Bombyx mori: one gene and its partner. The protein of the gene in region 1 interacts with the protein of each later gene in a pairwise test. Links are inferred from orthologs where the notes say so. Each region holds a gene or a part of one and is shown in the gene's direction. Other genes may lie near its edges.

The links.
Region 2: the proteins of poly [ADP-ribose] polymerase tankyrase (region 1) and proteasome inhibitor PI31 subunit interact in binary tests that used the Drosophila melanogaster proteins (3 or more experiments, as listed by UniProt). The link is inferred for Bombyx mori from reciprocal best matches to the Drosophila melanogaster genes Tnks and PI31.

The regions. Positions count from the first base shown.
Region 1 is NC_085130.1:10,970,700-10,982,731, forward strand, and holds the start of poly [ADP-ribose] polymerase tankyrase, read left to right. Parts: upstream 1-1,860; 5' UTR 1,861-2,002; coding exon 2,003-2,192; intron 2,193-5,586; coding exon 5,587-5,727; intron 5,728-6,700; coding exon 6,701-6,784; intron 6,785-7,919; coding exon 7,920-8,015; intron 8,016-9,723; coding exon 9,724-9,931; intron 9,932-10,978; coding exon 10,979-11,123; intron 11,124-11,884; coding exon 11,885-11,993; intron 11,994-12,032. UniProt on the Drosophila melanogaster protein: Stimulates proteasome activity, probably by ADP-ribosylation of PI31. Modulates 26S proteasome assembly.
Region 2 is NC_085111.1:15,237,379-15,250,000, forward strand, and holds the start of proteasome inhibitor PI31 subunit, read left to right. Parts: upstream 1-5,151; 5' UTR 5,152-5,345; coding exon 5,346-5,489; intron 5,490-6,946; coding exon 6,947-7,096; intron 7,097-8,104; coding exon 8,105-8,288; intron 8,289-9,484; coding exon 9,485-9,575; intron 9,576-10,383; coding exon 10,384-10,524; intron 10,525-12,556; coding exon 12,557-12,622. Other genes in the region: kinesin-like protein KIF13B, read right to left, coding at 129-216, 2,533-2,587.

The DNA.
Region 1 (12,032 bases):
CAAGGAATTTTAAGGCTCTACCCACTAAATGACTCCTCTTGCACTCTCTCACCCGACGTCCGATCTCCACCTGGAGTCAGAACCCAGTCAGAGTAGGGGAGTCCCCGTGGTCAACACTACAACCAGACTTGCGGCACCACCCCTAGGACGCCTGACCGACGAGTCGACGAGGCAATAGTCGTCATTTCTACTTACGGTACGGCAGCCCGACAGGCCGCCCCAGGCAGTGCCGCTGGTGTTCCGGAATACCCCGCTGGACCAGAACCAACCTGCCAGGTGGGAACGCGATACACCACCAACCGGTTGCTCCCACACAATAGTTCCGTGGAACTGCTGCCATGTAGCGCACCAGAGCACAGGTAGCATCTCTCCCCCCTCAGGTTGCCCCGTAACCTTCATCGGGGGAAGGACAGGACCCTTCGCCCAAGCTTCCCATTCCCTCCGAGGCTAGGACCCGACCCGGATGTGGTAAGGGTACCACGGTCAATACTACAACCAGAAGGCGCAGCTCACCCCCAGGACGCCCGGCCGACGGAGCCTTCGAGGCGGATCGAAGGTTCTGAAACGTCAGCCGTCTCAGTACGGCAGCCCATCGGGCAACCCAGACGGTGCCATTGATGTCCCGGAATATCCCGCTGAACTAGCCTGTCGGGTTGGGAAGCGATATATCGCCAACCGGTGATGAACCAAGATGTTGATATTTCTCCTCGTCAGCGCGCTAGAGTACTGGTAGAGTACCACGCAGCCTCAACCCCCTCAGGCTGCCCCATGACCTTCACTGAGTGGATGTCGCCACCTACAGGGGCCAGGATGTACGCTCGTACTCTCTTCTGGCCCCTGGTTCGACGGCGACGGATCGGTGTGGAAAATGCTTTCCTTCTCTCGTTCCGCCGCCTCCTTCTGCGATGTGGTAGAGTCGCAAAAGTCGAGCATCGCCTTCTTGCTTCGCTTCGCTTGCTTGCGGATGCTTCGCTACCGAGCGAACAGGTCCTCTTCTACGACCGCAACGAGGGTGGCACGTTGCTCATCCAATCCAGAGCAACGCGCCCTAGTATGTTTCACTGTATCATCCTCGTCACGGTCTGTGCAATGGTGGCACTGCACTGTCGGGTCTCTTCCGGCATTTTGTGATGTAATATTACCAACATTCATGAAAAATAGTTACTACAAAATACTTTCGTTTTTAATGGTCACATAAAAACAGTCTAAATATCAACCAGTAATGAATTAAAAGGCCTTAATTTCGTCATGGACATCCTTAAATATTTAATTTATTATATTTATTACTAGAAGGATGATAATCTCGAAAAATTCCTTTTACTAGCAAAGTAAAGGAAAGCAGGAAAGCACAGCAAAATAAAGAGGGTAAGGACGCGTAATACCACGCGTTGGTCCGATCAAATTAAGACGATATTGAGCTCCGAAATCAATGAACTGCGCAGAGGACAGGGTTGAATGGAAGAAAAAAGTAAGAACAAAAGTGTCAAAAAAGTGAACAAAAGGTCTCAACCCTCAGCACTGAGGAACATGATGCAAGGAGGAAGAAGGGTGCCAGATCGGAATTTATCTATATTACTTTTGTACTTAACAAACAGTAATAATATCAATGTGTTAAAACTGTACGGAAATTGGTATATAGATAAAACAAAAAATTGTGTTGTATTTCAATTACGTGGACAAATTACAATGGAATTAAAACTAAATTAACAGAAGTGAAAACCCTAAAAAGTTTTCAGTAGCTCAGTAATAACTAGCCTTCGCATTGCAATGAAATATTTTCGTCCCACATACATAACGTAAACATCACAAATGGACGAAATTAGCACAAACATTGTTATTTTTAGGGTAATCAAATCTAAATATAGCAACACCGGATTAAACCTTAATGTCATAAACGCAGTCAAGCAGCTGTATCGTACGTGTTTTGTGTGAAAAAAATCGCGAAAATGTACAAATACAGCCATTGTTTTTGTAAATATTAAATGTGAAACCATATAGCAGCATGTCGAGCCGCCGTTCGATGCTCGGTTCGGCGTTAGATGCTCTTCCGGCGCCCACGGATCCCTTAAGGGAATTGTTCGAAGCTTGCAAAATAGGCGATGCAGCCCGTGTAAAAAAACTAGTTACACCACAAACGGTGAATGCAAGGGACACGGCCGGACGTAAATCAACGCCTCTACATTTCGCTGCAGGTATTTATCGTTAAAATCAATATTCGCACATTGTGGTTAAAAAATACAATAATAATTGAAAATAAAGTGAAAGTATTGCGGGTAGTGTGAGAATAAAAATGTTTATAAGTAATTGCATAATTAGTCACGGTTTTTGATTACAGTATTTCGTGTTCTATGGATAATCACGTTTTCAATACTGACTGAATTGAGTTTCGTTACCTTGTATGAGTGACAAAAAAAAATTGTCTGAAAGTTATGCTCATAATGAAACATTAGATTTGTTCTATTCCAACAACACGAATGTAACATTAGTCCTATGTGAATTATTAACAGTATTGTTTAAATAAATTAACAAATTGTTGGACTTGTATCATTGTTAACACTGCAATAGTATGCATATGAAATCGCCTCAGAATATTAATAAAAATTTGACCCAGTTTCTGGATTAGGGTTGTTTATATTGGCCTCTCTAGCCTTCGAAGGAGCAGTTTCAGAACACGGTCTACAACTAAATTATGTAGTATAATAGATGTCCCACTGCTTCATGGTTGAAATATGATGAATAATGGTACTAATGCATGTCATTTTGGATCCTCCTGATCCACAATCATTGCTTTTATGTACCTCAAGTCGCAGTCACTGTTCTCGTCGAACCTGTCTCTTGCAACAAAAGCTTTGGTGAGCAAAGTGACCCTCAGACACGGCTGACTGTGTTTCTTGCCAGATCTGAGTAGGTCTTCTAATCTGGGAGTGTGGATTTCTAATCTGGAAGTGGGTTTCTAATCTGGGTGGTAGAGTCTGCTAAGCACTGCTCTTACTAGAGCTAGTGTTAGCAATGTCCCCGTTAGAGGTCACTAGAATAGCTAGAAAAAAGTAACAACTTATGAGAGTTCAGATCACTCATATCAGTACGAAAGAAATTTCTGATTTTTTTATAGTTTTTTTTGTTCATAGAATAATTGCAATTGTCTTGACTTGTTTCAAATTTAATTTCATTAATGCTGTCCTAGAAACACTAAGCATCTACTGATCTCAGCAGACAACTTTATTTATGTCACTAATAGTATCAATAATATCTTTCCTATGCCATCAAATACATACTAGAAACATGAGTATTAAGAAAAGTAATTTATGGTACTAATCTCCAAAGTTTTCTTGTTTCTGCTATTAAAAACAGAATGGCAATATTACTAAGTAGAAGAATTTTTAAATAAACAACAATATTTTTTACATTGTTTTTATCAATCTTACTGAGGAGATCAACATGTGTTGTCTTGAATTTTAAAATTATTTACTCAAGTGTTCAAACGCAAAGCGATTTAATTAAAGATAGCCGTGTAATAAACTTTGTTTCTCTGGAGTTCAGTGGTCCCAAGAGAAACTGCATCTTATATTAAATCGTCTAACATAATAATAGCTAGATTCCGAAAATGAATTAGGTGACTTAACAAGTGTTTCTTTAAACGTAGTTTTTCATTGAAGAGTGTACAGCAGCATTTTATTAATACAGATACGGTTTATTAAATTGCTAAACTAATTTTATTTTATAAATTGTTAAAACTAAACCCCTTTTATGTATATGCGGTGGGTAAAAATGGAATAGTATATAAGTAACTTTCCCACCTATTCATTGGTAGCCTAAGGGGCTATTCCAACTTCGTGCGGACCGGTAGGTGAGCTCATGGGCTTAACCTGAGAGAATTACTAACACTAGCCCTAGCAAGAGCAGTCCTTTGCTGAATCTACTAACATAACGGAATCAAGACATGGAATTATCCGGCGTGAAACTCTGTGGGCTGTGTCTATGAGCTAATTCGTTCAACAAGGACGGTGATTGGTGCTTGAAGAGTCTAAAAGCACTGAGAGTGGATCCGGGTTTTGATAAGACATCTTGGGCGATGGTGGCTTCGCTTTGCCCCGTCACCTGGATTGGATATGTAGTACATAAGTAGTAATACTTTTATTGTACGGTTTGTACATACCTAACTGAATAAGTTGACGCGCAGTGCGTCGTCACTGTGGTATCAAATTATTTTATTACATTCTTGTATAGCAATGCACTTAGCAACACGTATTCGTTAACATGCTACCATTTGTACTTGTACAACTAACATAATAAAGGTGCTCAAACAACATACTTACTCTTTGGAAACTTCCCCTTGGAACCCAACATCTTTTTTGGTCCTTCGAGCCAGATTTGAATCAGTGACCTATGGATGCCGCGCGTCGTGCGTTGACGCGCGGTGCGTGTCAACTCATTCAGTTAGGTATGTACAAACTGTACAATTATGGTTTGCAAGCTTATTGTCACAGAACATGTCACTGCTTTGTGAAATAGCTCTATTACATAACACGCTTGATCTCAATACCCCAATAGAATTGTGTTACAGCGGTTCTACCATTCAAGTCAGGATGACTTGAAACATCCATAAAATTCAAATTCAAATTCAAAATTATTTATTTCAACTTAGATGTCAGTATGACACACTTGTTGAATGTCAAAATACAAATAACAATGTTAACTCTACCACCGGTTCCAAAAAAAGCCACAGTCCTGAGAAGAACCGGCGAAACAAACTCAGCGGGTTTTTTTTTTTTTGGTTTTTCTCAAATATTTTCTTTTTTTTAAATAAATAGCAATATTCACAATAAAAGAAAAAACAAGTCAAAAAAATACAATTAAAATAATAATAATAATAATGAAAAATGAAAAGGCCAGGAGCGAGCGCCTCATTCCCACGTAGTGCCATCTAGTAAATAATCCTTAACTTTATAATATGCCTTGTTGCACAAACGTTCCTTAATAGTTTTCTTAAATCTATGAACAGGTAGTAGTTGAAAGTTTAGTGGGATCTTGTTGAAAAGCTGTACACCCAGCCCCCTAAAAGAGTTGCTTATTTTCTTAATTCGAGCCGCCGGCAACGCAAGCCTATGTTTGTTCCTAGTGTTCACATTGTGCAAATCGCAGACTCTGGGGAATTCTTCAATGTTTTTACGCACGTACAATAAATTTTCAAAAATGTATTGGGACGCTAAAGTTAGAATTTTGATTTCCTTAAACTTGTCCCTCAAGGATTCCCTCGGGTGCATATTATAAATAGCACGAATAGCCCTCTTCTGCAGGATGAAAATCGTTTCGACATCGGCAGCATTGCCCCATAGCAAAATGCCATAGGACATAACACTATGAAAATAACTAAAATAAACCAGGCGTGCCGTATCTTCATTAATATACATTCGTATTTTTTTTTACCGCAAACGCTGCAGAACTAAGCCTACTCGCTAACTTGCATATGTGAGGACCCCACTGCAGCTTGGAATCAACTGTTATACCAAATACTTATAGTGTAAGTTATTAGTAAACAATTTTTATTGCATACAAAATGATGTAGTATTTTCTCAATTCTACCAGGTTACGGACGCAGGGAAATAGTGGAGATACTCATCGCTGCCGGAGCCGCTCTTCAGGCGAGAGACGATGGCGGGCTGCAGCCGTTACATAACGCGTGCTCGTTCGGTCACGCTGACGTCGTCAGGGCCCTGCTTACAGCTGGTTCGTTCTAGAATCTTGTTTGTTGTGTAGACAGCTTTGTAGACATCATCTGGGCATGCATCTGTCTGAGCCTCCGAACACCACATTGTACCAAAATCAAATTTCCGGGATGACAAATGTTAACACTTAATTATTTTTTTATTGCTTATATGTGGACGAGCTCACAGCCCACCTGATGTTAAGTGGTTACTGGAGCCCATAGACATCCATAACGTAAATGCGCCACCCACCTTGAGACATAAGTTCTAAGGTCTCAAGTATAGTTACAATGGTTACCCCGCCCTTCAAACCGAAACGCATTACTGCTTCACGGCAGAAATAGGCAGGGTGGTGGTACCCACCCGCGCGGACTCACAAGAGGTCCTACCGCCAGTAATAAAAAGTCGTATTGTAAATTGAAAGGAATGATGTGGAAACTAAACGGTGTGGAAGTTTTTTTGAATAAGCATAGCGGGTTGTATCATGAATTTACACTGCCGACCATCAGTAGATTGTGGTGCGGACAAAACTTTGAAGAATAGATTCTGTTGATTCTGTTGCCATCTCTTTAACACTTCGAACAGACCGAAGGGTCACAATGAAACACTGATGCAATTGTTTAAAACAAAAATTTTCAATAACCATTTTTTTTTCATGATTATTTTACTGAGTTGCGGAAAGAGGAACTCTTGAGTTTTCAGTTTCTTTGATCCATCAAAAAAGGATGTTTTAACAGGTTTTTTTTTCATTCTAGAAGCTTCTTATTTATATAGAATTATCTTTAGGGGTACCATCGTAATGGCATTAAGTGGTATGACTATAAAGTAACACATATAACGTGGGAGTAGGCACAGTTCTATCTAAATATAAATGTTGGACGATCGAAGTCTGACTCCTCTTGTCTTATCGATTTGAGGAACACCAGCTGCCTGGTCATGCGGGCGCAGGAAACCACAGCGGAAGCATTGAACCCAACGTTTGATGGTGTTTCTAGGAGCTCCACCGGCCGCCAGAGACAACTGGGGGTACACGCCCCTCCACGAAGCGGCTGCGAAAGGGAAAGTCGACGTTTGCATAGGTAAGTTAGTCCTTACTGGTGTCCTGAGTCTTCCCTGCCACCGGTGTTGCCACGAAGCAGTAATGCGTTCCAGTTTGAAGTGTGCCGCAGTGGGTCCACTATAGAACTGAGACTTGGAACTCATGTTTCAAAGTAGGTGGCGGCATTTAGGTTAGTCGATGTGTGTCGTGGAGTCACTATTGTACAGCAGTATGCTTAGTGCGAGTTTTTTAAACGTTCTCGATAGCGTAAAAGTTAACTCAAATTTGTATGGAGTGGGAACGTTGCTCACGTTTGCCGCCAGGGGCGCTGCTCCAACTGCATACAAATTCAAGTTCACTTTTACGCTATAGAGTACGTTAAAAAACTTGCACTAAGCACACCGGTAAGCCGTGAGATACTTCACCCGCCCAAGGGATAAGAGAGATGACGTCATAACTTTTTTTTTCTCCTACCGACGCCGAAAGTTCGGTTTTCGTGCCGCTGTACAGGGAAGAAAGTGTAACTTTTCCCCTCGCTTTACAGGGAAGAAAGTGTAAATTTTCCTCCCGCTGTATAGGGAAGAAAGAGTAACTTTTCCTCCCTGGGTACTGACAAGTGCGCATGCGCGTTAGTGTCTACGTTTGCTCTCACGCACCTAAAATTCTCCGCCAATGTTGTGGTCGGGTAATTTGCAATATTGTGTTTAGTGTAAAAGTGAAATAAACAAAAGGCAATATAATGTAATAGTGAAGTATTAAACAAAGAATATTTCATCAGACAGTTCTTATTCAATTAGTAGTAGTTTATTTAAACAGTTAAATTGTTTTTTTATGAGTATATGGGAAGTCTCCGCCCCCCTTACCCCGTCAGGGCCCCGCCCCTGGGCCCCGCCTCGGTACTCCACGAACTTTCGGCCTGGTAGGAGAAAAAATTGTATGTGCACCGCGGGAAAAAGTAGGACATCTCATCCCGCGTGTTTGCAAATTTTACACGCGGAAGGAAATGTCCAACTTTTCTCCCTTGGTGCACAATGTACTATTATTACTCATTCGATCCTACAGCCTTAGAGGTATCCTGAGCTCAGGGATGGGATTTTTCAATTTTTTTTTGTGCTGCGATCTTGAAATAGCTCGTCAATGAAGAGGAAATCAATAAGGGCCATGTAAATTTTCAGCTCTCCTCCAGCACGGCGCCGATCCGAACATCAGGAACACCGAGGGTAAGACGCCCCTCGATCTGGCGGACTCTTCCACCAGGCCCGTGCTGACAGGTATAATAATGAATTTTAATTTAAACTGACAAAATTAACCATTTGGCAGGGTCGCCATGTAATGTTGTACTTTTAATACTCTACAAGCCTCGTTTGAAGAAGGACATGTCATAGCGCTCGGGAAACACCGTGGAGGGGAGCTCATTCCATAGCCGGATGGTACGTGGCAAAAAAGATCTCTGGAAACGCACTGTGGATGACCGCAGTGGCTCCAGGTAGTATGGATGAACTCTACTCCGGTGGCGGGTGGTGCGATGGTAAAAACGAGATGCCGGTATCATCTCGAACAATTCCTCAGAACACTCCCCATGGACTGTTAAAGGAAAACGTCTTCTAGTGTGTATTCCATGTTTAATAATCATCTCAATCCTAGTTTACAATTATGAAGAAGCCTATGTTCCTGGGTGATCCGCCTTATTAGGGGGACATGCGAGATTACACCTATTAACTATGTTATATACTAAATGCTATGCTAATACTATGCCATGCTATGCTATAATGTATAAGTATACACACTTCACTCGACCTTCGAGCGTTAAGGATGTAGCGGCGGTCGCGAGCTGAGTTTGTTGGAGAAATGAAACGATACCAAGGAACAAGTGATATGCGGTCATCTAACTATAGTAGAATGATTTTGTCCGCGCAGTTTGGGTCATTAATAATCGGAGCGGTGAAGCGAGTATTTCGCTCTCTCTTCCACTCACGGGCCTTATGGACGGGCATAGTGATGCGCATTATTGTTTTCGATAAAGTTTATCGATAGACAGTGTATTTAGTTTTGTCATTTTGTGGGTTAGTGATAAAAATGAAAGTAAAATTTACTAATCGAACACTTACACCTCATATCGCCGCAGCAAGTTAACGGGAACGGCAGAAATTAACACTTTGTAACTTTTAGGGATCTATTTTAATTTCAGTGAAAAATTATTAACACATTGTTGATAACAACACGTGCAAATATTATTTTTAATAAATTCTGCCGTTTTGGTACAAAACAAAGGAGTAGCCATTGTGTCACTAAGGAAATTCAGAGAGCGAATGCATAAAAACACATATCTCTCGACATACGTACTATAATTTGCAGGAAGGTACAACAAATGACTCATAACATAACAATGTCTCACTACCCTTCGTATACCGCCCCGCCGCCTTCATTGACTCTTTTGTTTTTATCGAAAATGACGTTGCGCCCGCGTAACATTCTCACCGCCCTAGCCGGACGGGCTGATTTATGACCCAAACTGCACGGACAAAATAATTCTACTATAGAAACCCCTGTATGTACGTTTGAACAAATACATACACCAATTAAACAACCAGACAAAGAGCAAACAAGTCTGTACGTCACACGTATGGTTTGCCCGACGCGGCAATCGAACCTCGGGGCTGTGTTATGTCGGGGCTATGGCTATGCTAATCGAACTATGGGCTCCAATAACCGCTTAAAACCAGACTGTGAGCTCGTCCACCCATCTAAGCAATCTCTCTCGAACTCTCTCTCTCCCCCTCTCTTTCCCCCTCTCTTTCCCCCTCTCTTTCCCCGTCTCTATCTCCCTCTCCCTCCCCTTCTCTCTCCATCTCCCCTCTCTCTTCCCTCTCTCCATCCCTCTCTCTCCCCCTCCCCCCTCTCTCTCCATCCTTCTCTCCCTCTCTGTCCCTCTCGCACTCTCTCTCTTTTCACCTCTCGATATGTACTATTCTGCGTCAGGCGAGCATTGTGCGGCGGAGGTCTTGGAAGCGGCCCGGTCCGGCTCCGAGGACCGGCTGGCGGCCCTGCTGACGCCGCTGAATGTGAACGTACACGCTGGGGACGGGCGCCGCTCGACGCCGCTGCACCTCGCCGCCGGGTACAACCGCGCGCGGGCGCTGCGCCTGCTGCTGCAGCGGGGTGCCGACGTGCACGCCAAGGACAAGGGGTCAGTGCTCGTAGTGGGGATCCTCGTGGGGAGTTTTACTGGTGGTAGGACCTCTTGTGAGTGGAGACCCTCGTGGGGAGTTACGCGCTGGTAGGACGTCTTGTGAATCAACGTGGGTAGGCACCACCAATTTGCCTACTTCTGCCGTGGACATGTGATGCGCAGAAAGAAGATTTCGGTGGTCGATTCTGCGAAGCACTGCTCTTGCTAGGGCCGGTGTTAACAACACTCCGGCTTGAACCCCGTGAGCTCACCTACACACGTTAGGGTGAAGCTGAAATAGCCCCTCAAGGCTATCAGCATAGGTAGGAAAAAAAGAGAAGATGAATGTGACTAGGAGATGTACGGAAATGGTAGTGCATAGAAAATACATAGACAATTACAATGCCCCCATCCATCTTGAAACATGAGTTCTAAGGTCTCACTTTTAACAGTACAAGGGCTGCCCCGCCCTTCAAACCGAAACGCATTACTGCTTCACGACAGAACTAGGTGGTATCTACCCGCGCGGACTCACAAGAGGTCCTAGTAAATCTATATATTAATACGTGAAGCAAAAACTTTATATCCGTTTTTACGAAAATTGCGCGGACGGAGGAGTATGAAAATTTCCACACTTATAGAGATTATAGAAAAGAAGTGCACAATGCTAATATTTTTTTTAAATAATGCATAAAAGATTCATTAAATCAATAAAGAAAACATTACACACACTACCATGTATTTGACACAGCACATACATAAAAATATATTATTTGTTTACTGTCAATTGGGAAACTTTTGTTATTTTTTAAAGTCTTGTCGAATCGAAAATAGATTAATATTGTTTGTCATTAATATTATTGATCTATAGTGCAGTTTTGGCGAATACTGTGATAATATTATCGAAATATAATAGTGTTTGACAATAGAACCATAATAATGTTTAAATTTATAATTTCAATTAATTATAGTCGAATCTCGACTACTGCGGGGCCACTAGTAATAATTATTTTGGCAACGCAACATGACTGCAAGTGTACATAAGGTGATTTCCTTGACCCTCAGAGGCCTGGTCCCCCTGCACAACGCGTGCTCGTATGGTCACTACGAGGTCACGGAGCTGCTGGTGGGGGCGGGGGCCGATGTCAACGCCACCGATCTGTGGGCCTTCACGCCCCTGCACGAGGCCGCCAGCAAAGCCAGGCTCGAGGTGCGTGGACCCAGCCATCATGGCTACCCTATACTAATCTTACAAGATCACTAATGCTTATGGTTGGCAGCGGCTTGGCTCTGCACCTGGCATTGCTGACGTCCATGAGCGACGGTGAGCACTTATCATCAGGTGGGCTGTATGCTCGTCTGCCTACAAAAGCAATAGAAAAGTAGATCTTAGTTTCATTGTTATGTGATTCAGTGATATTGTTACTATAAAGAAACTAAAACATGGTGCTCATTGTCTTAAGACGCGCGGCGCTATTTGGGTTGCCGATGTCTATGGGCCCCGTAACCCCTAAAGACCAGGTGGACCGTGCATGTAATTTATAAAAAAATGTGTACAGAGCATGAACGAGGAAATAGTACTTAACTGTTTTTTTTTCTCGTAGTAGTAGTAGTAGTAATAGTGGTAGAGATATCTCAGATAACGTAGCGACATAGTACGCTTGCTTGCTTCTCATAGTGTGAGGAAGCAATGAGTCACGCGTGGGAGTCGACGGGGGGACGGTAGTCTCTTTCTCTCTCTCTCTCTTTTTTCTCCGTCTCTCTCTCTCTCTCTCTCTCTCTCTCTCTATCTCTCTCTATCTTTTCTTTATCCCTCTCTCTCTCTATCTTTTTCTTCCTCCCTTATATCCCTCCCTGCACCCGGGCGCTGGTGGCGACTTACGGTGCCACTTACGTGACTGGCTCGTCGCTACGTATAAATTAGTTTTATCACTGCGTTTGTTCGTGACGTTTCCGTTCTGCCCTGAGCAGGTCTGCTCTTTGTTGCTGAGCGAGGGGGCGGACCCAACCCTGCTCAACTGCCACGGGAAGTCGGCGCTAGACGTCGCGCCCACCAGAGAACTCCAAGACAGACTGGCCTGTGAGTAACTTAGGAAATAAGATCCCCGGGCAGGTGGTG
Region 2 (12,622 bases), on another chromosome or scaffold:
CAGAAAATATCCAGATTTATTCAAAGTACATTTACGAAAAATGTATTATAATTCAACATTTTTCTAAGACATTTCGAATCATAATTCTGGACGACTAGGAACAAAATTGAATGCGTCGATTCGTTTACCTTTCTTTTTCGTGTGACGAGACTGGATATTGTAAGACGGTCTGCTGATTTTCCATTTCCACCACGCATTGTGTGCCGAGTTCGAGTTCTGTAACAAAATTTTAATGTAATGAAATTACGAGATACGAATTAGTTAAATAAGAAATCTCGTTTGTGAGTCGCTTATGAACATTGGACAATCTGAACACATAAAAACTGTGTGCATTAGAAGGCTATATTTTTTATTGATCCAAATTAATTTCTTTTCTTCAAATCAGCGGTTTACGGAAGATTAATTGATGTGTTAATTCTAACAAACTCTTAATTTGTCGTTGTATTGATTTCAGTTAAGTCGAACATCGTTCTTAGCATTCAGTGTATACCTAAATTCAGAGAAATTTGTAGTCTTGAGTTCATTCAGTGTATGTATTTTAAAACCAACCCAGTATTATTACGACATTTTTTCTTAATTTTAATATTCTGGAAACATTGGTTTCTGTGATGACGAAAATTAATAAAACCATGGGCTTTTATGGACCTTAATACTACGCCTATTGAATTGGCATCCTAAAGCTTGGTGCAGAAACATAACGAGTTCACACCTGGTCATAACATATCCTACGCGGACTTAGCGCGATCTCCTGTCGCTACTTTACTTGTATGTTTTTGTCTTATTGAATTTAGCTTTATCATCTAAGTCAAGTTCATTCACAACGAGCGTGGTTTCAAACGGTCAATACGTGCTTAATACTGTTTTATCGTCTGCGCGAAAACAAATGGACCACCATAATAATGACTTAACGCGAGGTCGACCGGCGCGTCCACGGCACGCTGCTTCCAATCCCGTTTTGCAATGTCACCTCAAATCAAACTGTTTTACTGACTCTGAATTATGTTCGGCAAAAAAAAATTAATTACAAATTTTAAATATGGTTGATTTTTAGGGTATTAGTTGTTCAATTAGTATTAGTTAAAGGTATGTTATGTACGCCATTATTGTCACATGCATCAGGCCATAAATTAAATAGTTGAAGTTATTTTCAATGTTAAATGTTTGTGATGTGGCAATACTTTTTTAAATAAATAAAAGGTTATTAGTCCTTATTTTCATCAAGCGCGTTAATTGAAGAAAAGCCAACAAGATTCTAATAAGTAAATGAATTTATAAAAAATAAAAAATAATAATGACCCCACCTACCCCGAGACACAAAGTGTAAGTCTCATGTAACTGCATTGAAATAACAGTTTAACTGGCATTCAAAAGCAAACCACATAGCTGTTTGGCAACAAAAATAAATAGTCAGTATTCAGTGGTATAATCCAGGCAGACTCTCAAGATGCTCTACCACAAATAATATTAATTACTAGGTTGTTTCCTATTTATTTGTGAATTCATGCTACCTAGCAATAACTGTACTATATAGATATAGAATAGATTACATGTAAAAAATAGATTTGAATTTGCAAACTGCCATTCTATTTACAGAAGTACTTAAAATTTATTTGCTACAATCTAATCTACATAAAAATATATAAATTTTGTAAATTGTCAATGTCCTATCACTTTAAATGTTGAATGAAGATACTGAAGAAAGGCTTTAAAAATCTAAGCAGTGTACATCTAAAAGTGTAAGTTTTATGAAATGTGTAAGTGATAAATTTTGTGCTTCTAAAGCCTACATTAACAAAGTGTCTTCCCATAAACTGTTAAAGATGATAAATATAATGTTATTGAAGGCCCTCTTAAAACCGTAGAATTCAACTTGCTGTTTAAGTTATGAATAAAATACTTATTGGTATTTGTAGCATTTAGTGTGATAAAACAAGATAGAAAGAAAGGTTTTTTGTTATTGAAACATGTTTAGCATTTGACTTGAAGCAGTTCATTGTAAAATTTACTGTTTTTTTTTTTTTGCAAAAATCTAATATTTATACTACTATATGTGAACTTACTTCTTTTTATTGTTACCTATTGATTCTGTAAATTAAAAGCTTGCACATACATGCTGATGCATTTTACTGTAAACATTTCCAAAAAAATTTAAATTTAATGTTGAGATTTTTTTTATAAAAATATTATCAGAGTGGGTTTAATAGTTTATTAGTGGTTGAAGATATATTAAAATTTTTAAAGATATATGAAAGTTCAAATTCTAAAAACCGAAAGTTTGAAATGAAATAAAATAAATGTGTCTATTGTCTACGTAACTACTTTTTATATTTGTAACAATTGATCTAGATTAGTAAGCAAGAAAAAATACTACTTTTCCTAACTAAGTGCTACCTACATAAATATTTAACTGATTACATTCTATAGTAATATTTATCGTGATTATAGAGGCCATTATATAGAGAGATAAAAGCATATACGGTCACCTGTACGATAGCGATTTCTTTATTTATATGCAATATGAAACTAACTTACCTCGCCTGTTAAAAGGACGAACACGAACCGCGACTTTTATCTTATCCGACGCCATTTTGCACACAAATTACACAAATAGAATCAAAACACAACACTTTTTTCACGATAGTAAAGAAGTTTACTGCACATATTCACCCATATTCTAGAATTACAAAATTCATTATTTCACGTTACGATCACGACGTCCCCGGAATGACACTGTCGGCCATATTGTTTTTACGAATAAATGCATGCATGTTCAGTTACTAACCGGTAACGAAAAACCGTTGTCAAAATCGTAATTTTGTGAAAATTTCAAGGCTAGATCTTAAAATAAATTTATAAAGTTACCAGTTTGATTTTCTCAACAAAAATAGTTACAAAATTATTTTCCGTTTAAAATCGGTTTTCGCAATTGGCCATTCGATTGACAGTTTTTTGGCGGGCTTTTGAAACAAATTTTAAAATAGAGCTGACATAAAAATTTCAAGAACTAGAAATTTGGTTGTTTGAGACTTATAGTCTCATATTAAGCATTTAAAAAATACTCCGTACATAAATATGTATGTATAAAGTTATGGTAGACATCTCGAGTGAAAAATGACGAAAAACGTTTTATCTTTAACATGAATGGTTTTTCTATGTTTATGTCGTAATCTGAGACTGTCTTGGAAGGTTTATTGCTATACCATAAAGACAAATAACAAGAATTAAGTAAGAGCCACTGTCTACATTTACAAGCTTTTAGCAAACTACGTTTCATAATTGACTAATTTAGTTTAATATATTTCCACGTTGTGTGTGAGGAGCTAGAGTTTAGATGCAATAAAAAACATATAATTAAACCGTTTGAATTGTGGTTTTTAACTTGTTTATCATCTTTGCACATGCACAAGTGTGAACACTAATAAAATAGTCACTAGTGACTAGGCATTGTTTCTCGGGTAAACTCAAAGAGTCCACTGAATTACTAAATTTAAACTATTTCATTGATGCTCGGTGTTGTCTTCAATTTCATTTCATATCGCTTAGTTTCATAATCAATTTCTTATTAATGCATCTCATTTTTCTTGTTCCGTTTCAGTTTTCAAATTCTTCACTGTTTTTTCATTTGAATTACCGATCCCTTTGCCTTAGCAAATAGACAAATCAAGAAAGATCTAAGGTTTAGGCGTGAGCATGGAGTTAATATGTACCTACAACGGCGTGAGTTAGCGATTTCTCTACCATAGATAATAATACACATATAAACAAGATTCTCTACTCATAGATTCTGCGTTGTATTTGTATTTAGGGATGGCGATTCTTGACGAAAAAGATCGATTTTTAAATATATTCAAATCGTAACCTAATAAATCGATTCACAAAAAACTCGAGGTCCAAAAGATCGATTCCTTAAAAATGGATTTTTTATAAGTTTGCATTTACAATGTAATATATGATATGACATAATAAATGATCTCTTATCAGTAAAATCACGGAGTTGTTTAGCTCAGGGAATTCGATAATGACAATAATCAGAGGTGGATTATCCATAAGGCAAACTAGGCACGTGCTTAAGGGCGTGTAGTTACAAGGGGTCGCGAGCTCAGAATTTTTAAACGAATTAAGAAAATAAGATATCGACGATTAAGAACTAAATGCTGATCTATAATCTAAATCTATAATAGATGATATTGCACAAGCATCGATATACTCGTATTAAGCAATATTGCGGGTTTGTTTGTATTTCATTCGCACATTAGCGTAAGTACAAGGGTCCCTGTCTACTAAAGTCTAGTGTTTGATGATACAACGTCATCGTAATTGCAAAAACAACTAGTTAAAATTTATAGTATTATGAGGGCCCTTTATGGCCGGTACAGGGGCGCCAGTAAAGTGATTGCCTAGGGCGCCCTGGACCTTTAATCCGCCACCGACATATAGAATTTTCTTTTTTTAATTATCAAAGTATCAGTTCAGGCTTAAAAGAATACATTTATTTTATAAGTGTATTTGTCACCTACAACACCGTAATATTACGGGTACATTCAACCAATCCTCTATCCTCTATATTATAAAAAATGTGTGCGTGTACTAGTGTACACACGTAAGAAGTGAAACTTGTTTATGGCCTTATTTTTCGAAAAATGATCTACATGCAACTTTCTAGAAATTGGTTAAATAAAGTTAAATTAGATAAAGTTTAAACAAAAGGATTTTATTATCATAGACATGAATACAAAAAAGTTAAATTAGATAAAGTTTAAACAAAAGGATTTTATTATCATAGACATGAATACAAAACAGATGGCGCGTAACGGAAAAAAGTGACGCGTAACCGAAAAATGTGACGGTAAATTTTTTTCCAACGCCGATAAGGAAGTTTCACTTCAATTATATAATATTATTATATTAATAAGTATTAAAAGAGATGGAATCAAAAAAGTGTAAAGTTAACTGAGTATCGAATTATCGCAAAAATATGGTCACTGATTATTTATTGGTTGAAAAATTAATTCAAATTCTTAATTGGGAATAATTTTATGGTTTTTACCAAAACTGAAAAAAATCGAATGTCGATTTTCAAGGGTGATTCACTGAATCGATTCAGAACTACATATCGATTTAAAAAAATTTTTTGGCTCGAGAAATCGTTTCTTCGATTAATCGATCTCGAATCGTCATCCCTGTTTGTATTGCATGTCTATTGCTTGAACATATGATACAAAACATAGGGGAACCATTTTTTTGAAGTTATCACAACAACTCAGCTGTCTTGAAATACTTTGAACGGATTTAACAAGTGTTTCTATCAAATATAGCTACCATAGTGGACATTTATTATAGTCAAAATGGCATCAGACCCGCTGTTTGGCTGGGATTTAACATTCAAAACAATTGAGAGGGATATAAAAAAACAGTCTGACATAATAATTGCTTTTATTCACTGGAATTTAACAAGGAGGGGTTTTCGAAGCATCGGCTTAAGTGATGAGGTAATAATAAAATCAAACAAGGAATTCTTACAATTCACATTACTAATTTTTAGTTATATACGATATAAAATGCGTCGTTTAAAACAACAAAACACGTAAACAGTATATCTACTGAAATTATAGTGGAATTAATTAATCAGCAGATTCAGCGTCCCTTCAATGATACCAATGGACCTTTAATGTTCATTTTGTTTATAAACACAAAATTTAAAATAGATTTCATTTGTATTGATTTTTGAGCCCTATTACAATAAGGTAAAGTACTGATGATCTGTTTTTTTCGTCTCTTCAAATTAGAATGTATCTTTCGAAGGTAATACCTATGTTCCACTAGATCGTGAGTAGTGTCCATCATCTTTGGACAGGCCAATGCCAGTGCTTAAACAGCAACTTGGCCATGCCCCTGGCGTTGCTGACATCCATGAGTGAGGGTAACCACTTACCATATGTTGGTGGCGCCTACTAAGGCACTAAATTAAAGCAAGCTCTGCTAATTACTTTTCTAAACTGATATATCCGAGCTCAAAAAATATGTGCTTTACAAGTAGTGGAGAAAAGCAAAAGAATTCAGAAGAAGAAGGCTGACAATGTCATAGCGGAATATAATGAGTTTATCTCTAATTATACTTTGTGAACTACAGCATTATCCTCATCACATTGGTAATCCTTAATATTGAGGGTTGTGGTCTTCCTTAATTACTCTCTTCTGGAATATCCTGTGCTAGCTCTGCCTATCCTTAGCTGTGCTATATATTACATATACAACATTACAGACATTCAAAAAGACTTGAAAGTAATGACTTTTTTTTGTGTGTGCAGGCTAATAATAATGTAAAAGTCAAGCATAACAAACAACCTGAATACGAAGTCCAAAGAGAATTTGACCTAATTCAAAAGTTTTCTGACAGTAAATTAGGTTACGCTGTATAACGAGACTTAAACAGTGCTTAATGTGCTTATACTTAACAAAATACAATCAAATACATAATTATATGTATATCTTTTATACATAAGTAATCATACACAATCAATGTATAAAACGAAGTGTAAATGTAAGGGCCAAATAAATAAAACAAATGACTAAAAATGTAGGAAAACTTTCGTCCTGTATCTTTAGTTTTTAATATTATAGATGTGCCAAAAATCTGTTTCTATAAATATCACTATAAAATATCCTTGCAATTTTTTTATGAGGTCTGATCCAAACAGTTAATGTTATCTGAGTAGTCACTAACTATAATGATTTGAATCTTAAAAGGGAGATAGCATGTGATTTATGAAATACCATAACAATACAATACAATGCTGAGACCAAGACATGCACTATTATTTTTGTAAATAAACAGTAATCTGAAATTTTGATAGAATTTTAAACAATTTAATAAATAATGCTTTTATATTTAAAAAAATGAACAAGAATTTACTGTCGTTTAAAGCCATTAAATATTTCATTTCAGAGAACAATCACTGGCGATGAACCTAAAAGTGAGCTACTTCCTGAAGGATGGAACGACACTGAGAACTACAGAATAAGATATGTTCTCGAATCTAAACTCTATATTCTACATGGCTTAAACACTGATGGAAATTTAATTGTAAATTTAATGGTAATTATGAAACTAGTAACAAGTTTTATGTTACACTCTTCTGAGTTCTAAAATAAGTTACATGCTTCTGAGCATTTATGAATAAACTTCATGTTTAATAATACAAATGACATTCAAAAATCTAAAGGCTTAAAGGAATAACATGAAATAATAAAAATCAAACACGCGTGAAGTAAAATTGAGAGCCTACAAGAATAGGGACCATCAACCTGTCTATTTCTGCAGTATAGCAGTAATACATTTTGATTTGATGCTGGGTGGGTGGCTGTATTTACAAATTTTTATATTTATGGGCTCTGTTACATAACTAAAAGAAAAAACAGTTTTCTCAATGCTGACGATAAATATTAGTAAGTATTAAAAATTAAAATCAAACTAGGCAAAAATATTGAAACGATATAGAAAGTTTCTATGATGCTATTTAAAAGATAACAAATGTTTTAGTTAGAAAATGTAACTCAACATATGATAACCAACTATCTAATAGATTAGTAGATGTGTCCCTAAACTTCTTTTCAATCTATCCTCTATCTAGTGCATTAAAAAATCACACCATGCTACTGCAGATAACTGGTGTAAATTAGTGATCCATTCTCCAATACCAAAGGTTAATAGTTTACAAGTAACAATAAATAACTGTAATGTATTAGTGAGGGTACCTGTTATTTTTTTAATAAAAGGATTGCTAAGTGCAGTTTGTATAAAAATAGACATCACTAAAGTATGAAAGGTCTATGACAGACATCTAATGAACTCACTTGTTACCAAACATGTGTGCTTAAGTTCATAATAAAATAATAAAACATAATAATAACATTCTTCTGTCATTAATGTCTTCAAGTCTAGTAGTGTATGTAAATGAATGTTGTGAGAGTTGGTAAATCACCTATCTGTTTTCCCTTTTCTAATTCATGAATTCTTTTGTCTTCATCAACCCACAAATTCCGTATTGATGTTGTCTCTTATGAAGTTCCACATACGATTAACAAAATACTCAACTCTGTACAGAGATCTGAAGACCTTGCTGTTACGAACATAGGTGTAAAGATAGACGAAATACTGAAAGAATCAAATGGAACCATAGACGTCATGATGCCGAATTACAAAGATTTCATTTTTGTTATAAAGCGAGATCTAATTGATAGCATCACAGACAAGCCAACAGCTACTTCGGAAACACAGACTGCATCAGGTAATTTTTAAACAAAATTTTTGTAATATAAGTTTTCAGCCTTATAACTGCTCATGCTTTAAGTAGACTTTAGAATATAAAAAGTGTGCAATTTGGCTGATTTTATCACAGCTCCTTCACTATTCTACACACTTGATTTTTAGATAATATTAAAAATTTGGTTAGCACATACTAAACGTAGAACTTAGAGGAAAAAATTAAATTAATGTTTCAAGTTTTTGTTTTAAATTTACTCTTCTTTCATAATAGACTTTTTGTGTCAAGTAGAAAACACATTCATGATTATTTTAGATTGCATGGCACATCTTATAAACATCACAAAGCATTGCCACTCCTATGAAAACATAAGGTTTAAGTTGCAAAACCACTGACCATTTAATTGAGAGACTACTGCGTATCAGAAATAGGCAGAAAGATAATACTCGCCCCTCTCATATTGCCATACAAAAATTTAACAACCATCACAAGCAAATTTAGTATTATGTATTTATGTCGAGTAAAAATAAAAAAATGTGAATATCCTATTTGCCGTGCAAAAGATATTCAGTCACTGCTGTTTCAAGATTATAACATTTCTTGTACAGACGCTTGAACGTGCTTATGGCCCAGTTGATGATAAAGGACTACCGGTGCCTATAGATATATAAATTTCAGTACTGCCACTCACTGTGACACACGATTTTCTAGTTAACGGTCTGTAGTTTTAATACAAAAGCTATCCTACTCTTTAAATCAAAATACGTGATTGTTTTGCGACAGATATAAGCTGGAGGAAATTTACACAATATTATTCACACAAATTGCTCGTGAACACTTGTTAAGTATACTTGGTAGCTGCATACAGGATCTGAATCCTGGCTTGGAGTCACATACTCCGAGAGTACAGTGTGCGTCTGTTCCGTAAGCTCATGACGACTTCAATTAAACTCAATCTTCCATTTTAATTCTGTAAATAACATAAGAAAATAAGTGGTTAAAATTGCTCAATAAAATAAGGGAGCATGTAAAATTAAATGTGCTATTTAATTATTAAATATTCAATAAACAGCTACAGTATGCATTCGACCATTTCGACTCCCATTTCATTTAGTTTTTTTTAAGTTTGACTGTAGTCAGCTTATGGTCCACCTGAAATTCAATGTGCTGATTTACGTGACCGTATTTTTATCTCAAGGTCAAATGTTTAAAAATTTCAGATCATTCAAACACTAGAAGGCCTTCAGATGATCCACTGAGAATTCCTCCCAGACCCAGACCCGGAGTTAATCCCGATTCACAAGATCTATGGTAAAGAATGCTCGGTTTCGGGGGCTAGTGGCTCATCTTTTGTACCCATAATTAATCTAAGGTTGATAGTATGAGTTCGAAATAATATATTTCTATTACAGTTGTTTGACATAATATGGGTATAAAATAGGTTTATACACGAGCTTGCATTTGGCAGCTGTTGAAGATTTATAGTGTTAGAGCAATATTTTCGCATCAGGTGGAACATAAGGGCCAATTTCTCCTTAAGCCATGACCTTCCTTCGTTCGTGAACCTTGTGTGCGCGTCTTAATAGTTTGCTGTATTGTATATTCTGCTCTATGCTTGCGTAGATTCAGCTGCCAATGATTTTAATCGGGTCGTAATACAACCTCTGTTTTGAAACTGTTCCACGTTTTCATCATTACAGATAAAAATTAATTTAAACTCGTTAATACAGACATAGGATACGATTACAATAAGACCTGATTGTAATATAATTACGGATTTTCCTTTATAACCTCTGAAACAATATTTTTTTATAAAATTTTATACATAAGTATATATCGATATGATCTTTATCATCGCAACTTTTTTAGTAAAAACGTGGAAGAATTTTCAAAATTCGGTCTTAGCTTTAATGCCTCATTTCGATTATCGGGGAAAAGTTCATTTATCACGCATTTTCAGAATTTGCTTCTGTATTTAAAAAAAACTTAGAATACTATGGTTTCTCTGCTTTAATCTAATCTGTTTTTGGTATGCAGCCCCCGGGATGTGTACAAACGAGTTTGCCAGTAGTAAATATTAGTTAAATGAGTGACAATTATTAATTTATTTTTCATACAGGGCAGTTCCTCCTGGCCGTAACGTTGGCCATTCAGATCTCGATCCGTTCTCTCCTTTCGGGGGTGGAATGATATTTAACCCGTTTGCTCCACGTCGAGACATTGAGAACCCAGGCCTGGGTGTTCCAGGTGGATTGCCAAGGTTTGTGTAAAAATCTTACATATCTGAGATTTTTCATTAACAACAAGATGAACAGATGAGCATCTAAATCCGCTCACATGACTATGTCAGTTTACCATCAAAAGGCTGTAAACAATAAGTACTCTTGAAGACCTTCTTTGATTTATTTCATACGCTTCTGGTTGACACAGATACCTTTTACAAAAGTTGAACAACCATGAGCCCATAGAGACCAGATCGTATGTGTTACTGGTGTCCGTTCCCTCAGACCGTATTCGTTTGTATTCTAAGAACGATCACCTTCATTATTCTGAGATATGAATACTTGGAGACAGAAATAGACAGGATTGTGTAAGCCACTAAAGCGGGCTTACAATAACTACACCTACTTTTAGTAAGCACCTCTTATGCAAATCGTATTAAGTCGTCGTGGCCTAAAGGATAAGACGTCCGGTGCATTCGTATGTAGCGATGCACCGGCGTTCGAATCCCGCAGGCGGTTACCAATTTTTCTAATGAAATACGTACTCAACAAATGTTCGCGATTGACTTCCACGGTGATGGAATAACATCGTGTAATAAAAATCAAACCCGCAAAATTATTATTTAAGTAATCACTGGTGGTAGGACCTCTTGGGAGTCCGCACGGGTAGGTACCACCACCCCGCCTATTTCCGCCGTGAAACAGTGATGCGTTTCGGTTCGAAGGGTGGGGTAGCCGTTGTAACTATACTGATACCTTAGAACTTATATCTCGAAGTGAGTGGCGCATTTACGTTGTAGATGTCTATGGGCTCCAGTAACTACTTAACACCAGGTTGGCTGTGAGCTCGTCCATCCATATAAGCAAAAAAAAAAAAAACAAGCAATGACTCAAATTGTTGTTTTTTTTAAATAGAAATAGATTAGGCGACGGTCGCCAATACTACCAGTACCTCTAGCATTAGTCAACAACGAAATAATTATTTTAAATTTCGTACAATGTAATAGTTGCTACTACTCTTTTGAGCCTGCGCGGGTAGGCACCACCACTCTCTGTCGTGAAGCAGTGATCAGTTTCGGTTCGTTCGGGGTGGGGCAGCCGTTGTATTGTAAAACTGAGACTTACTCATGTCTGCAAATAGGGGTGGCGGCTTTTACATTGTTGTTATCTATGGGCTCTACAACCACATAACATAAGATGGATCGTCAGTCTCTTAAAGGAAAAAAAACTTAAGTACAAAAAATATGAATTTAGTTCTTATCTTATCTTTATGCGATTGTTTCGTTTTATAATGAAAGTATTTCAAACAATAACAATTATTTTTGGAATCACAATAGCTCTTAAATTTTTTAAATAATCCATCAAAAAAAAGAATATCTGTTGACAAACAGAAAGAAATTAGTTATTTAATTAATAGATTTATCGGTTTTTTTACACATGATAATTTACCGTTAAACTAGGATTCCCTGTTCTATTTATATATGGGTGTTTATATATCTATATATATAAAAGAAAGTCGTGTTAGTTACACTATTTATAACTCAAGAACGGCTGAACTGATTTGGCTGAAAATTGGTGAGGAGGTAGCTTAGAACCAGGAGAAGGACATAGGATACTTTTTATCACGTTCCCATTGGACGTGACATAAAACGTGGCATAACAAAACGCAACTGATATGGAATAAAAAAACGCTACTGACAGCTAAACATAATATATTCTATGGTTAATTATAGTAGAATTTTGAAGTTGACCGGTTGTTGTGTTTGAAACAAACCGTGTGGCGGAACAAAGTTCGCTGGGACCACTTTTGTTTTATTAGATATATATATTTATATATATGTATATTTATATATATGTATATAAATGTAATAAAACAAAAATAACAATAAATAGCTGTTAGAACTATAAATGCTGTCGTGGTCAAGAATACAAAATCATTCATTGTCGAAACAAAATCAACAACAATGGACCTCACAATAGACAGGCCCATGTCGTGAGCATGTAAAAGAATAATGTATACCTACTGTATACTTGTATGTTTGTTTACGTAAAAATTACATTAATTCACAGAGCTGCGGTTCCCCCGGGGGCACGTTTCGATCCGTTTGCGCCCCCCGGTGTTGGTGAACCCATCCC